Linked DNA regions of Nothobranchius furzeri. The protein of the gene in region 3 purifies or fractionates together with the protein of the main gene of each other region. This does not show direct contact. Links are inferred from orthologs where the notes say so. Each region holds a gene or a part of one and is shown on either strand. Other genes may lie near its edges.

Region 1 (4,024 bases), on a different chromosome or scaffold from region 3:
ACGTAATGTAACAGATCATTTCCAAAAATAAGACAAACTTGTTTCTCATTGGAGGACCTCTTTAAGAACTTAATCTAAATATTACATCTGAAAAGGTTTACGACCTAAAAATCATGATCTGAGCATCTCACCTCTTTAGAGACCTCTTGCCATTTCTGTTTACACATCTCTGCAGTGTAGGAGTTGAAGGCCACCTTCTGCCAGTCCAGATGGGACTCGGATGTTTTGTATTTAGTCAGATCTTTCTGTGGCAGAGCCACTTTCATGGCCTCCAGCAGCTTTAGGAGGTCATCCTGCGACCACACTGATAAAAAAATACATGTAAACTGGTTCATGGATTTATTAGTATGGTTGCATTATGTTTATAGTATGATGACAAAATGTGGAATTCATTAAAACAATTTCGTGATTATACAAGTATTTGTCATTTGTTAAAAAAATATATATAAATAAAAATGACTCATAAATATACTACCTTGGTCATGTGTCGCTGCCTCCATTTCTCCATTCATTTGTGAAAATGCGATTTTTGAACTACAAAAGAAACAATAAATTAATCAAAATCACTAAAATTCATATTTTCTAACTTTATTATAACTGATCTCTGTTGTAAGTCGTTTGAGTTGAAATGTGTGCCGACATAATGGTTTATGTTCATTACACCGCCCCTAAACGTTTACGCTGCATGGTGAGGCATAGGCTATTGCTTGTGACGGCTTCAAATCTCAAATAACACTGCGGAGGGCTTCAACTAAGCATATCTAGCGACGACAACAGGAGTCCCTGTCGAGCTTCTTTTTTATTTTTTTTTATTTTTTATTTTTGGGCCAACCGGAATTTGGCGAATTAGTGCTGTCCTTATTCTACAACAGAAGTATCGTGGACGCTCAGGAGCGACCATTTTCTCGCTCGGTCTGCTCGGTAATGGAGGACTTTCTGTCGGAGCGGAGGTTGGGGAGGATCCACGGAAGGAGGAAGCGAATGAACGTGGACAGACAGGCAGCTGTAGGCGACCAGCTGACCACGGACGGGGGATCTGCTTTCGGTCTCCGACAGCCTGGAATGGCAGCTTGGAAGCACTGCAGCCAAATGCGCCACTCGGCGGAGACGCCTCATCACCGTTGGACGTGGATCTAGCTCCGCCACGCAGCCCTAAAGTCTTCTCCACTAATGTTTACCCAAAACAAGAACGACTAAACTAGCATTCTACGCGTGAGGGGGTTTATGTGTGCGTTTTAGAATAATTCACTCAACATTTTGTTCGCTTTGTGGTATCACGCAGTTGTTTTTTGGACCAAAAAGCCAGAGCATTCTTCAGCGAGGCGTAGCCGAGCTGTGCTCCAATGATGGCGGATGACCGTTGTTCATCTTGTCCTTGATAGCTCAACCGTGTCTCCTCGCGTCGTTTCTAACACTACTTTCGACATATTTCTTATGTAAAATGCGCAGAATGTCAAATTCAAACGTCGGATTTATGACGTTTAGTCAAAAATACTACATAAATGTGGAAAAAAAAACATAAGACGCCGTGTAACTTAGCATGTCGAAAAGAAGCCTAAAATCATACCAGCATCTAAGGTAGCACAGTTAGTCAACAGTATTTGCTACTAATCAAAATTTGTGTCACACAAGGACGATTTAGGGATCACATTAACTTGTGTTTACAACGTATAATTAACATGAATTATTTGACAACCATACAAAATGCTCCAAAATATTCTAAATTAAGTTACACCAGATCGAAAATTAATAAATGTTAGGTTAAATTATTTGCGGAGGCGCGAAACATAATTAAAATAAAAAATATATGTACGGTGAAACAACATTATTGACCTAATTTTGAATTACTTCATGTTAGTGTTAGTTATTCTCCGTTTCGAGGAAAATGTGGGCTTTAATCGGCTCTTTCATTATCGGATATCTAAAGAACAATCCGCGGCTGAGCAGCTTCTCTGGCGCGACAAAACGGCTCCAGGTCCGCCATGCTACCAGCCCCGCTCTTGTAAGCAAACCTACCGTGACAAGGTCCAATGGCGTACTGCGAACACTGAAAACGGAGCCGAAAGCTCTAGCCGGGGCGTTGCAGACTCCCTTCCCTAGCTCCAAAAAGCGCATAAGCGAGGACGGAAAGGCGGGTTCTCCGAGCTCGGTTGTCGGTGGTTCTGGGCTAGTCAGTGAGAGAGAGAGGGGGAGAGGGGAGGGCGAGTCTCCTCACGGTGAGATATTAAACCGAGATCCCTGATGGCTGACCGAGAGGCGGCTAGCTGTTCCGCCAACAGCCGCGTGGAGGTCTCGGCGCGGAAACTACCGGAAAACATTTCCCCACGCGAAACAAACGATTGCTTAGCTAAATCCCGATGCTACGTGAAACTAATTCGCTTCATGAATTCACTGGGTGTAATTTATAGTAGACATCATACCACTGGGTCTTACATCCAGCTTCTTCCCCGCTGTTTGGGCAGAGAAATTCGGGTAAGGCCGACCTCGTCTGCGCCCTTCCAGCGGGGAGTTTGTTTCGTTACCACAAAGATCCTGCCGCCTAAGGAGCTTTGGTAGACAACATTAAAAACAGAATGTCTATTTTTCGACTTTTAACCGCTTTTCTGGTTTGTTTATCGCGCTCTTTCCACGTGTGGTTATGAAACCGACCGACTTTCGTGCTGCTTACCTGTCTCGGCGCGAGCCTCCGCGTCGCTGTGGATGAAGAAGGGGAGGGTTGAACGATAGCCAGCACTGCGCCGTCGGTCCTGGGCTCCAGTCCCCGCAGAGATGGTCCTTCCCCCCGCCTCCATCTCTCTCGCTGTCTCCCTCCAGTCAACGTGCAGCAGCTCTCTTCTCTCCATCCAACCATTTCCGCTACACCGACACATCCCCATGTTCCCCAGTGTTAACGCCGCTGATTTTCTGAGCTCAGCCAGCAGAGTTTATTGTTTCTCATCGAGCCCGACTTTCACGTCTCCCACTGAAGTTTGCATCTCTAACATTTCGTCTGCCTACACTTGAAAGAAAAATCGCTTTACTGGTTACCTAATTTAAACGCCACCAGTGAACTTTTTTTCATTGAACGCACACATCTTTAAAGTTTATAATTGACACCAATCAGTGTCTGATTATTCTCCTAACTCTTATTTCCGGTGTCCGTGCCGTTCCCCCGGCACCAAACCTCTTTGACTCAAACGTAACTGGCTGTTTGACAGCTTCATTTTAGCCCAGCATGTTATTTTTTCAACTCCACCTTGTGTGTTTGTGGGCGGAACCCCCGGCCGTCCAATCCAGTCCGTCCGATTGAAGGAAAACAAAGACTTTCAGGCACTCAGTCTTGTTAAACTGTGCTATGTTCACTTACAGTAGGAATAAAGTATTATTGGATTAGTGTCAGGAATTTAGCTAACTGGACAAAAACAGTCGTCTTTTGTTTTAGTTTAGTGATTTTAATATCAACCTTCCCAGGCACTACAGGTGGAAATTAGCATCCCCACTATAACCTGGTACATTGCATCTTTCTTTTGTGGTTAATGTCAAGTTGTGCACTGTCACTGTTTAAATAAACTTCTACAATTACAATTAAAATTATATAATATAGTTTGAAGAATTCAATTGTGTTATCTTTTTTGTTTACCTTAAATTTCAATTATCCTGTTCGTATTTATCTTTCACAGTAATTTATATCATGTTTCCTGTATGTGGTTACAAAGTATTAAATCGAATTTAACGTGTAATTGTTAATTACTTTTTTGTTTTGCCTTTGATGAAGATTGAAATCATGAATATGGCTGAATAAAACTAGACAATACTAGACTTAAAAATAAAACCAACTATTTAACCTATTAGCAGGATAAAAAGGCAGCTAAAATAGTAATTTTCCCATGTAGAATATTATGCTTGCGTATCATGTTTTTAGAACGTTTATGTTTTAAATAGTATTTTAAACATAATATAAGAATAACGAACACATTTCTCTCTGAGGAACAATCCTACTATAATTTATCTCATTAAGACTCTTGGCAAACAAGTCGCCATCCAC
Region 2 (4,283 bases), on a different chromosome or scaffold from region 3:
ACACGTTTAAAAAAATACCGCGACAATACCGAAAACCGTGATAATTTTGGTCACAATAAATGAGGTGAAATTTTCACACCGTGACAACCCTAGTACCCACAAGTATCTCTCAGCTTCACAAAGGTTGGTGACCCCTGGATTAGCGTCCAGGAAACAGCAGGGAACGTCTCGGCTACTAGAAGCTAACCGTTAGCTTTAGCAACTCCACCAGACAGCAGAACTCCTCCAGGCTTGAGTTATTTATGGAGATAAAACATCAACGTTGCTGTTAGCCAATTAGAGGAAAAATGTCCAAATATCAGGAAGTAATCATCCTAATCCTGCCTGTGAAGCTCCGCTCTGACGTGGCTCTCTTCTAGTTCCTGAAACGGGTGCGTTCATTCGTAATAGACACCGCTGCAGATACAGTTTACATGAGTAAACTACCACTTTACTTTGGGTGAATAATTTGTACCACATGAAAAGTACTTTTTCTTTCTTTTATTCAAGTATTGTATCATAGCGTATACAGATAACACCATACCTGTTTGGTATCGACTTTACCAGGTTTTAGTGCATCATACATCAGCTTCCTGCTGCCTGTGAGGAGACGGATGCACGCACAGAGACGAGTTTCATCAGGACCAAACCTGACCGCTGCAGCCATCCAGGCAGGGTGGTGTGAGACCAATATCCTCTAGCTTCCTAGATAATAAAAGTGTGTGTGTGTGTGTGTGTGTGTGTGTGTATTTGTGTGTGTTAGCGTGTGTGTGTGTGTGTGCGGATGTGTGTGTGTGTTAGCATATGTGTGTGCGTGTGTGAGCGTGTGTGCATGTGTGTGAGCATGTGTGTGTATGAGCGTGTGTGTGTGTGTGTGTGAGCGTGTGAGCGTGTGTGTGTGTTTGCATGTGCGTGTGTGTGTGCGTATGTGTGTGTTAGCATGTGTGTGTGCGTGCATGCATGTGGGTGCGTGTATACAGGTGTGCGAGCATGTGTGTGTGTGTGTGTGTGTGTGTGTGTGTGTGTGTGTGTGTGTGTGTGTGCGCGCGTGTGTGAGCGTGTGTGTGTGTGTGTGTTTGTGTATGCATGTGTGTGAGCGTGTGTGTGTGTGAGAGCGTGTGTGTGTGTGCACCAGTCTAGTCCACAGAGAATTCCAGAAATAGACCACGGATGGTGAGACTCTCGCCTGTTTTTCTCTTTTTTTCCCCTCTGAAGGGATTTCTCGTTATTTTTTAAATCTCAAACCCGTGTTTGTGCTGATGTCTGTACACTTTATGCTCAGAATGTAAATAGATAAATAGGTGTGTGTGTGAATACACGGACCAGGTGCTGTAGAACTATAAATGCTCACAGGATGCAGAGTGAGAGAGTTATTAGTAACAGATTTAGGAGGAGGAGATGGATGCATGTTGATTGTTTTTGTGCCCCCCCCCCCCCCCCCCCAGCTTTTTATAGCCATGTCTTCCCAGGGCTCAGCAGCTACAAAAGCCTTTTCATGTTGCCACTATAATTACAGCCTACACACACATGGACATGCATGCATACACACACACTCGCTGGAGCAGCGTCTTTGTGTTGGTGTGTGCGTGCTCTGCATGTGCAGTTATACACAAAAGGGTGAGCTATTTTTACCTCCCTCCCCTCCCCTCCTCTCCATCGCCTCCTCATCCCTCTCTCCGCCGCTGCTGCTAGCCACATTTGCTATGCTGAGCACAGGCGCTATCAGTCGAGCGCCAACATCTCTCCAACTCGCTCACAAGCGAACACACACACTCACTCTCACTCACACACACCAGCTGACGAGCGCTCCCTCTGAATCCCGGCTTATTCTTTAGCTCCGTCCGAGCATCCCTGCAGACGCGCCTCAGCGTTTGCTGCTCATGGATCAGGAAGCAGCTCAGGGGCTCGGAGGTGCACAGCGGCATGTGCTCTCCACCGTGCAGATGACCTGAAGCCCCTCTCTCTCTCTCTCCCTCTCTTTCTCTCCCACCTTCTCTCTTTCTCTCTCCGACTGGTTTTAACCGCCTGATTAGCAGGTTTGTGGCTGGAAGCCCGGCTCAATGCTGCGGACCATCTTTGAAGCAGAATGCTCTCTTTCTCCCACAGAGGGAATCCTGGGAAAGGAGCCGCCGCTGGAGGTCCTCAAGACGTCGGCGCTCAACCACATCCCAACAGGTTGGTCAATCTGTGTGTGTGTGTGTGTGTGTGTGTGTGTGTGTGTGTGTGTGTGTGAGTACGTGATGTTACTATCAACCACATCCTGTGTGACTTTGCTTTTTGGATGTGAGCGAGCCGGGGACACACCGTCTACTTGACCAGGAGACACCATGTTTACATCCCCAATGTTTTATTTAAGCCGCTCCGGTGCTGCCATTTTGCTGAATGAAAATCTGGAACTCCGAATGTTTGCGCGCACGCACGCACGCACACACACACACACACACACACACACACACAGACACACACACACACACACACACACACACACACACACACACACAGCTAAACAAACCCATTGTGCCTCTCAGTCAGTTCCTGAGTCCGTTTAATGTTCCCAAAACAATCTCTTGCAGCTCCCAGTGCTATAAGTTCCCATTCCCAAGTATTCCTGAATGCAGATCCATGTTGTCCGGTAGAAATTGTACAGGAAAAGTGAGGATGAGGAGAGTGGAGCAAAACCAGAGGGGCACAGATAAGGAAGGATAAATTGGTGTTGGGATAGTGCATCCCATAATTCTGTAATAAGGAAGCTTAAACTGCTCCCAGCTTTTGGTTTTTTGCCTCCCAGGATGGTTGGGTGAGTCTAATTCCTAATTCTGACTCCCAGACAGCAGCCAACGCTCCAGCACGCTGCCGTTTCTGCTCCTAGGTTATTTTTGTTTTCACTTCCTGCTCCTGCCTCCGGCTCAGCTGATAAAATATTGAAATCCACCAGAGCATCTTCATCTGATATTCTCAGAATCTGTTGTCTTGGCTACGAAGCTGCTGGGTGGCATGTGACCCGGACCGCTTCTCCTGCACGGAGAGGAGGGTGAAGCCATCTGGGAGTCTTTAAAACGCCCTGCAGGTGAGGATCACACCTGCAGAGGCCTCCTGAACTTTAGCTCTGTGTGTGTGTGTGTGTGTGTGTGTGTGTGTGTGTGTGTGTGTGTGTGTGTGTGTGTGTGTGTGTGTGCGCACTCCCAGCACGGATCCTTTGCGTAACGCCGTTGTGTGATGTCATTAGAAGGGCGACCACCCCCCCGCCCACTGCAGCTAAAACCTGATTCTACCTGGACAACAGATGAAGTGACTGTTGGCTGCAGGACTTTTCAGAATGAGCCCTCATCTGTGCCACATCCATTAGGGCCTAAGGGGCGGGGCTTAGGCAGTCGGACCGTGGGACCCGGGCTCCACGAACCGGGCCTCCAGTCAGAACCGCCAGCCCTCGACATTGTCTGGTATAAATAGATTCACAGCAGGAGCCAGAAGAGTTGTGGAGAGCGCCGGAGGGGTCGTAAACAGATTGTGATTAGTTTGTGGAGTGTGTGTGTGTGTGTGTGTGTGCGTGCGTGTGTGTGTGAGTGTGTGTGTGTGTGTGAGTGTGTGTGTGTGTGTGTGTGTGTGTGTGTGAGTGTGTGTGTGTGCGTGCGTGCGTGTGTAGGGGGGGGGGGTATGAAGGAGTGCAGGGGTGTGCAGAGGAACCCGCTGACAGGAAAGGTCGCTGAGTTAAAGCAAACGAAAAAGCTGTCAGAATTCCCTCTGAAGGAGATTCCTTTGAATCCCGATGCCTTTTAGAGATTCCCTCTGATCCACAAACGCTCCGATCAGACTCGCAGGAGAAAAAGAAAGTGAAGCGTGTGGATTCTCTTCCCTCTGAGTCTGAGCTAAATCAGGCTGCAGATCAAAGAGGATCTTTTTTTAGACCCCCCCACCCCCCACCCCCCCACACACACCTGTCATACAGGTAAGTCTGCCCGTTGTGTAATGTCTCTGGAGCCCCCGCCCCCCGTTTGGGTCGGATGGCGGCTGCCCTCATGTCGTCCTTATCTCACACACATCAGTAAACTCCAGCTCTGGCTTGACGTCAGTGCTCTGAGACAAAGAGGTGTTCAAATCAGAGTCTATCTGTTTATCAGCGAGGCTTCTGATTGGCTGGGACGTCTGCTGTGGTAACAAAGTTCAGGATGTCTTCAAAAGCAGAAACATCTTCTGATTGGTTCTCATTAGGGACTTTAAGACTGAACCCTCAGGCTCATCCAGACCGATGCAAGGAGCCCTTCGAGACAGAAAAGAGACATTATGAGAGCAAAGGAACCTGCACA
Region 3 (3,563 bases):
TCTGTGAGTTCAGATTCAACTCCTATGTAAACGCATGGTCTGTCCAAGTTTGTGTGTGTGTGTGTGTGTGTGTGTGTGTGTGTGTGGCGGCAGGACCAAAACCACGAGCTCTGCTGGCAGCCAGCCGCAAGTGCTGCTAGAAATAAAACAAGAAATAAGTGCTTTTATGAAACAAACAGACACAAAGCTCCTGTCGCTTTTTGGTCACCAGTTTGCTGCCAGCAGCTGAATCCAATCACCTCCTTTATTTGTGTTTTTTTGCACTTTTTCCTTAAAGAATCTCCCAAAGTCTTGGTGAATATGAACCCAGAGCATCCAAGACTTTTTAAATCAAAACAAAACTAGAGATAAATGTAACTCGGAATGTTCTTTTTTTGTCTTAAAGACGGAAAAAAAGTGAAACAACTGGAGAATCTTTCTTCACGCATACAAAAGCTAGAATAGACTTGGCATGTGTAAGCTGTAATCCTGAGCAAGCTTTCAGCCAGGCTGCGCATGAAGGGAAAAATAAAAATGCAGATTTTGCAAATCCGCGAGATGATCGGAGCAAAATTCCAGTCCTGAGGAGTTCATGTAACACAACCAGACCTTAGAAAGCCCCACCGGATGCTTTAAAGTGCACCACTGGACTTCTGACTTTGAAAAGGACTACAACTATATAAGTGCACGTTTGACAAGACGGAATAAAAAAATGAAGCAAAAAGTCCTTAAATGATGACGATTTCTCCCAAACTGAAGCCGTTTTTACCGATCGGTTACCGAGAGGCACACTGCAAGTGATCGCTGAATAAATACCGACGCCTTTCACGCACACGTTGGCCTCCGAACGAGTCAAACCGAAACCTCCATCATGCCGCAATACTCTTTGGAAATTATATTTCATAAGGATTAAAAATCTTTGGGTGCTACAACAGAAAACCAAATAAATCTTAAATTACCTATAAAAAAATTAACTTAGTCATTTAGACGCATCAAAAATATTCAGATTACACTCCTTCGACTCAAGTTTCAAATACAATACATAATTTATGGCTTCATAAGTTAAAAACGCTTCAATCTACATCAAAGTTTCACCCACAATGTACAAGATAAATTAACTGTCTCTAAGCAACAAGGATTGTCAAAACTGTCTCATCTGCTACTCAGTGCTTAACTTGCATGGTGATATTGTTGTCATACAAAAACATGCTCTGCATAAAACAATCAAACAAACAAAAAGCGGTAAGGAAGTAGAAACTCTGTACAAAAGAGGCAGAAAGCATCCCTCAGCTGGTGGATTAAAAACAGAGAAGCGTCTCAGCTGCAAGTAAACCGTTGCAGCGAGAACGACTCCCTTCGTAGCGCCGCGGTCAAAACACATTCCAGGAAGACAAGTCGGCACAAGTCTGCTCTTCTTTTTCATCTCTGCTGTATTTCTAAGCAGCAGATAGCCGGCAAGGCCTGAAAAAAAATCCGCTTTTTTTTTGGTTTTGTGCTTTCAGACGTCAGTCGACTTTTAATACGGCCTCCAGACCGCCTCGTCCATCCTGCCTCCGGGGTTCAGAACAGTTGGGGAGTTACTGTGGCTCCCATCCCCGTCCACCCCTCCTTCTGTCTGGGTGGGGAGGTTGGGGTTCACCAGGGAGGTGCCCGTGGAGGCGCTAGTGCAAGGTGGGATCATCCGAGAAGGCGAGCGATCCCCGCCAGGGACCATGCTGAACTGGTAGGAGTTGGATGACGCCCCGTAGTAGAGATAGGGCGTGCTGCTGGTCTGGAAGGGTCCACTCTGGCTCTGGGTGGAGCCCGGGTAGGGCGGGGGTAGGTAGTGGTAGTGGGCGCTGCCGAGCGACATGGCCGAAGTGACGGGTGGCGAATACGTGAAGGTGGGCGGGTAGTGCATGCGGGGGCTGGAGAAGCGGCTGTCAGCGATGGAGGAAAGGCTCGGGAACTGGCGCTCGAACTGACCCGGGAATGGGCTCAGGTCTGAGGAGCCTGCAACACACACACACACACACACACACACACACACACACACACACACACACACACACACACACACACACACACACACACACACACACACACACACACACACACACACGTTATGATGGCATCCTTTAAGTGTGTCAGGAATTAAAACTTAAATCAATGACTTAGGGAAGTTGTTTGAAACCAGATATGTGAATGAACCGGTGTGGATAAAATGATCCGTTAAATTCATCACTTTCTGCAGCGTTTCACTCTCCTGCATTTCCCATGCACACCGCTGCCCCTCCGTGTGTGTCGGTGCATGTTTATGTGCATCCATATAATTGTTTATGCATGCAAATGTGTGTGCAAATGGTGTGTGTGTGTGTGAATACTGTATGCACATAAAAAAGCAGTTGGGATGAATCAGGAGCTGCACATGTGGAAACACTTTGCGCAGAAACAGTTTCCATGAGATCCATAATGAGGCAGGGCTGAGCTCTGATGTGGCTCCTCTCCTCGCCTCCCATCGGCTCCGGCGTCTGCGTGTGTGTGTGTGAGTCCAGAGCTGAGAAGGAGCTGCTCCATCTCACCCTTCGTTCCTCTTTTCACTTCATCCCTTAAACAATACCCAAAAACCACTAACTGGCTGTGGCGAGCTTCGCCAGGAGTTGAAGGAGAATAGGAGGTCCTCGTCTTCCTCCTCCTCCAACATCCCCCTCCTTCCCTTCATCCTCTTGGTGGTTTAGTGCAGCCATGGAGCTCTTATCATAAATCACCAGGCGTCTTCCGTGTCACCATGTCTGCTCCGAGAGGAGGAGGAGGAGGGCGCAGTGTTTATGTGCAGGGAGGGATTGCGAAGTTGGGTTTGTCGCTAGCGTCAGATAGCATATGCTGCAAATTAAAGCCTTTAAACTTCCTATTTTCCATCCGTTTGATTCCGACAGGAATAGTGGGCGATTGTGGAAAAAGAAGTGTGACTTTAGTTGTTCGGCTCTTCGTTTCTCACTTTGAAGATGAAACGTTGTTAGCGGAAAGGAGACCACCGTGTTTGTTTGGAAACATCACTTCCGAGGGGAGGCGTCACGACTCCAGCCGATGAACATTCTGCAAAAGCTTCTCGGGAAATTGAACTTCTCAGCAGCTGGATTGTTTCAGGTTGCAAACGGAGCATCTACGGCGGCGTGCTCCTCACCGTGGCGAGGTGTCAGCGTGACCTCTGCAGATCCCAGAGCCTCAGGCGTGCTAAGCACAGGTGTCAATCTGGTGCAGAGGCTCGTGTCTGCGCGTGCACAATCGCCCGTCCACACGTGTCACCCGGAGAACAAACACGCATGAGATGAAAGCTGCATGGGGAAAAGGAGCGGGTGGGGGTGGGGGGCTACCGAGCTAATCAGAGCTGACAGGGCAGCTGGCTGGACTTTAAACCTCTTCTGATGCAGAGTCACACGGCTGCATCGCTTAATCACTCGCCCTCACTTACCACGCGCGCACGCACACACACACACACAGAGCAGAGTGTGTTAGCTCAAGGAAACAGAAAAAGTTAGACGGTTCTCCTAGCTGTGAGTCAAACAGGTGTAGGGGACACAGATGCTGCCATTACTCCTAAGAGG

What was found. The genes of interacting proteins can lie anywhere in the genome.
Region 1: the proteins of runx2b (region 3) and ubtf purify together in Homo sapiens (co-immunoprecipitation; 3 studies listed by BioGRID and IntAct, with this or other methods). This does not show direct contact. The link is inferred for Nothobranchius furzeri from reciprocal best matches to the Homo sapiens genes RUNX2 and UBTF.
Region 2: the proteins of runx2b (region 3) and histone deacetylase 4 purify together in Homo sapiens (affinity purification with western blotting; 3 studies listed by BioGRID). This does not show direct contact. The link is inferred for Nothobranchius furzeri from reciprocal best matches to the Homo sapiens genes RUNX2 and HDAC4.

Annotation. Positions count from the first base shown.
Region 1 is NC_091745.1:10,210,525-10,214,548, reverse strand, and holds the start of ubtf (nucleolar transcription factor 1), read right to left. Parts: upstream 2,807-4,024; 5' UTR 2,669-2,806; intron 2,174-2,668; exon of another isoform or gene 2,017-2,173; intron 535-2,016; 5' UTR 513-534; coding exon 476-512; intron 305-475; coding exon 132-304; intron 1-131. UniProt on the Homo sapiens protein: Recognizes the ribosomal RNA gene promoter and activates transcription mediated by RNA polymerase I (Pol I) through cooperative interactions with the transcription factor SL1/TIF-IB complex.
Region 2 is NC_091754.1:47,244,967-47,249,249, reverse strand, and holds the start of histone deacetylase 4, read left to right. Parts: upstream 1-1,477; 5' UTR 1,478-2,039; coding exon 2,040-2,154; intron 2,155-4,283. UniProt on the Homo sapiens protein: Responsible for the deacetylation of lysine residues on the N-terminal part of the core histones (H2A, H2B, H3 and H4).
Region 3 is NC_091742.1:21,529,985-21,533,547, forward strand, and holds part of runx2b (runt-related transcription factor 2b), read right to left. Parts: intron 1,972-3,563; coding exon 1,496-1,971; 3' UTR 1-1,495. UniProt on the Homo sapiens protein: Transcription factor involved in osteoblastic differentiation and skeletal morphogenesis. Essential for the maturation of osteoblasts and both intramembranous and endochondral ossification.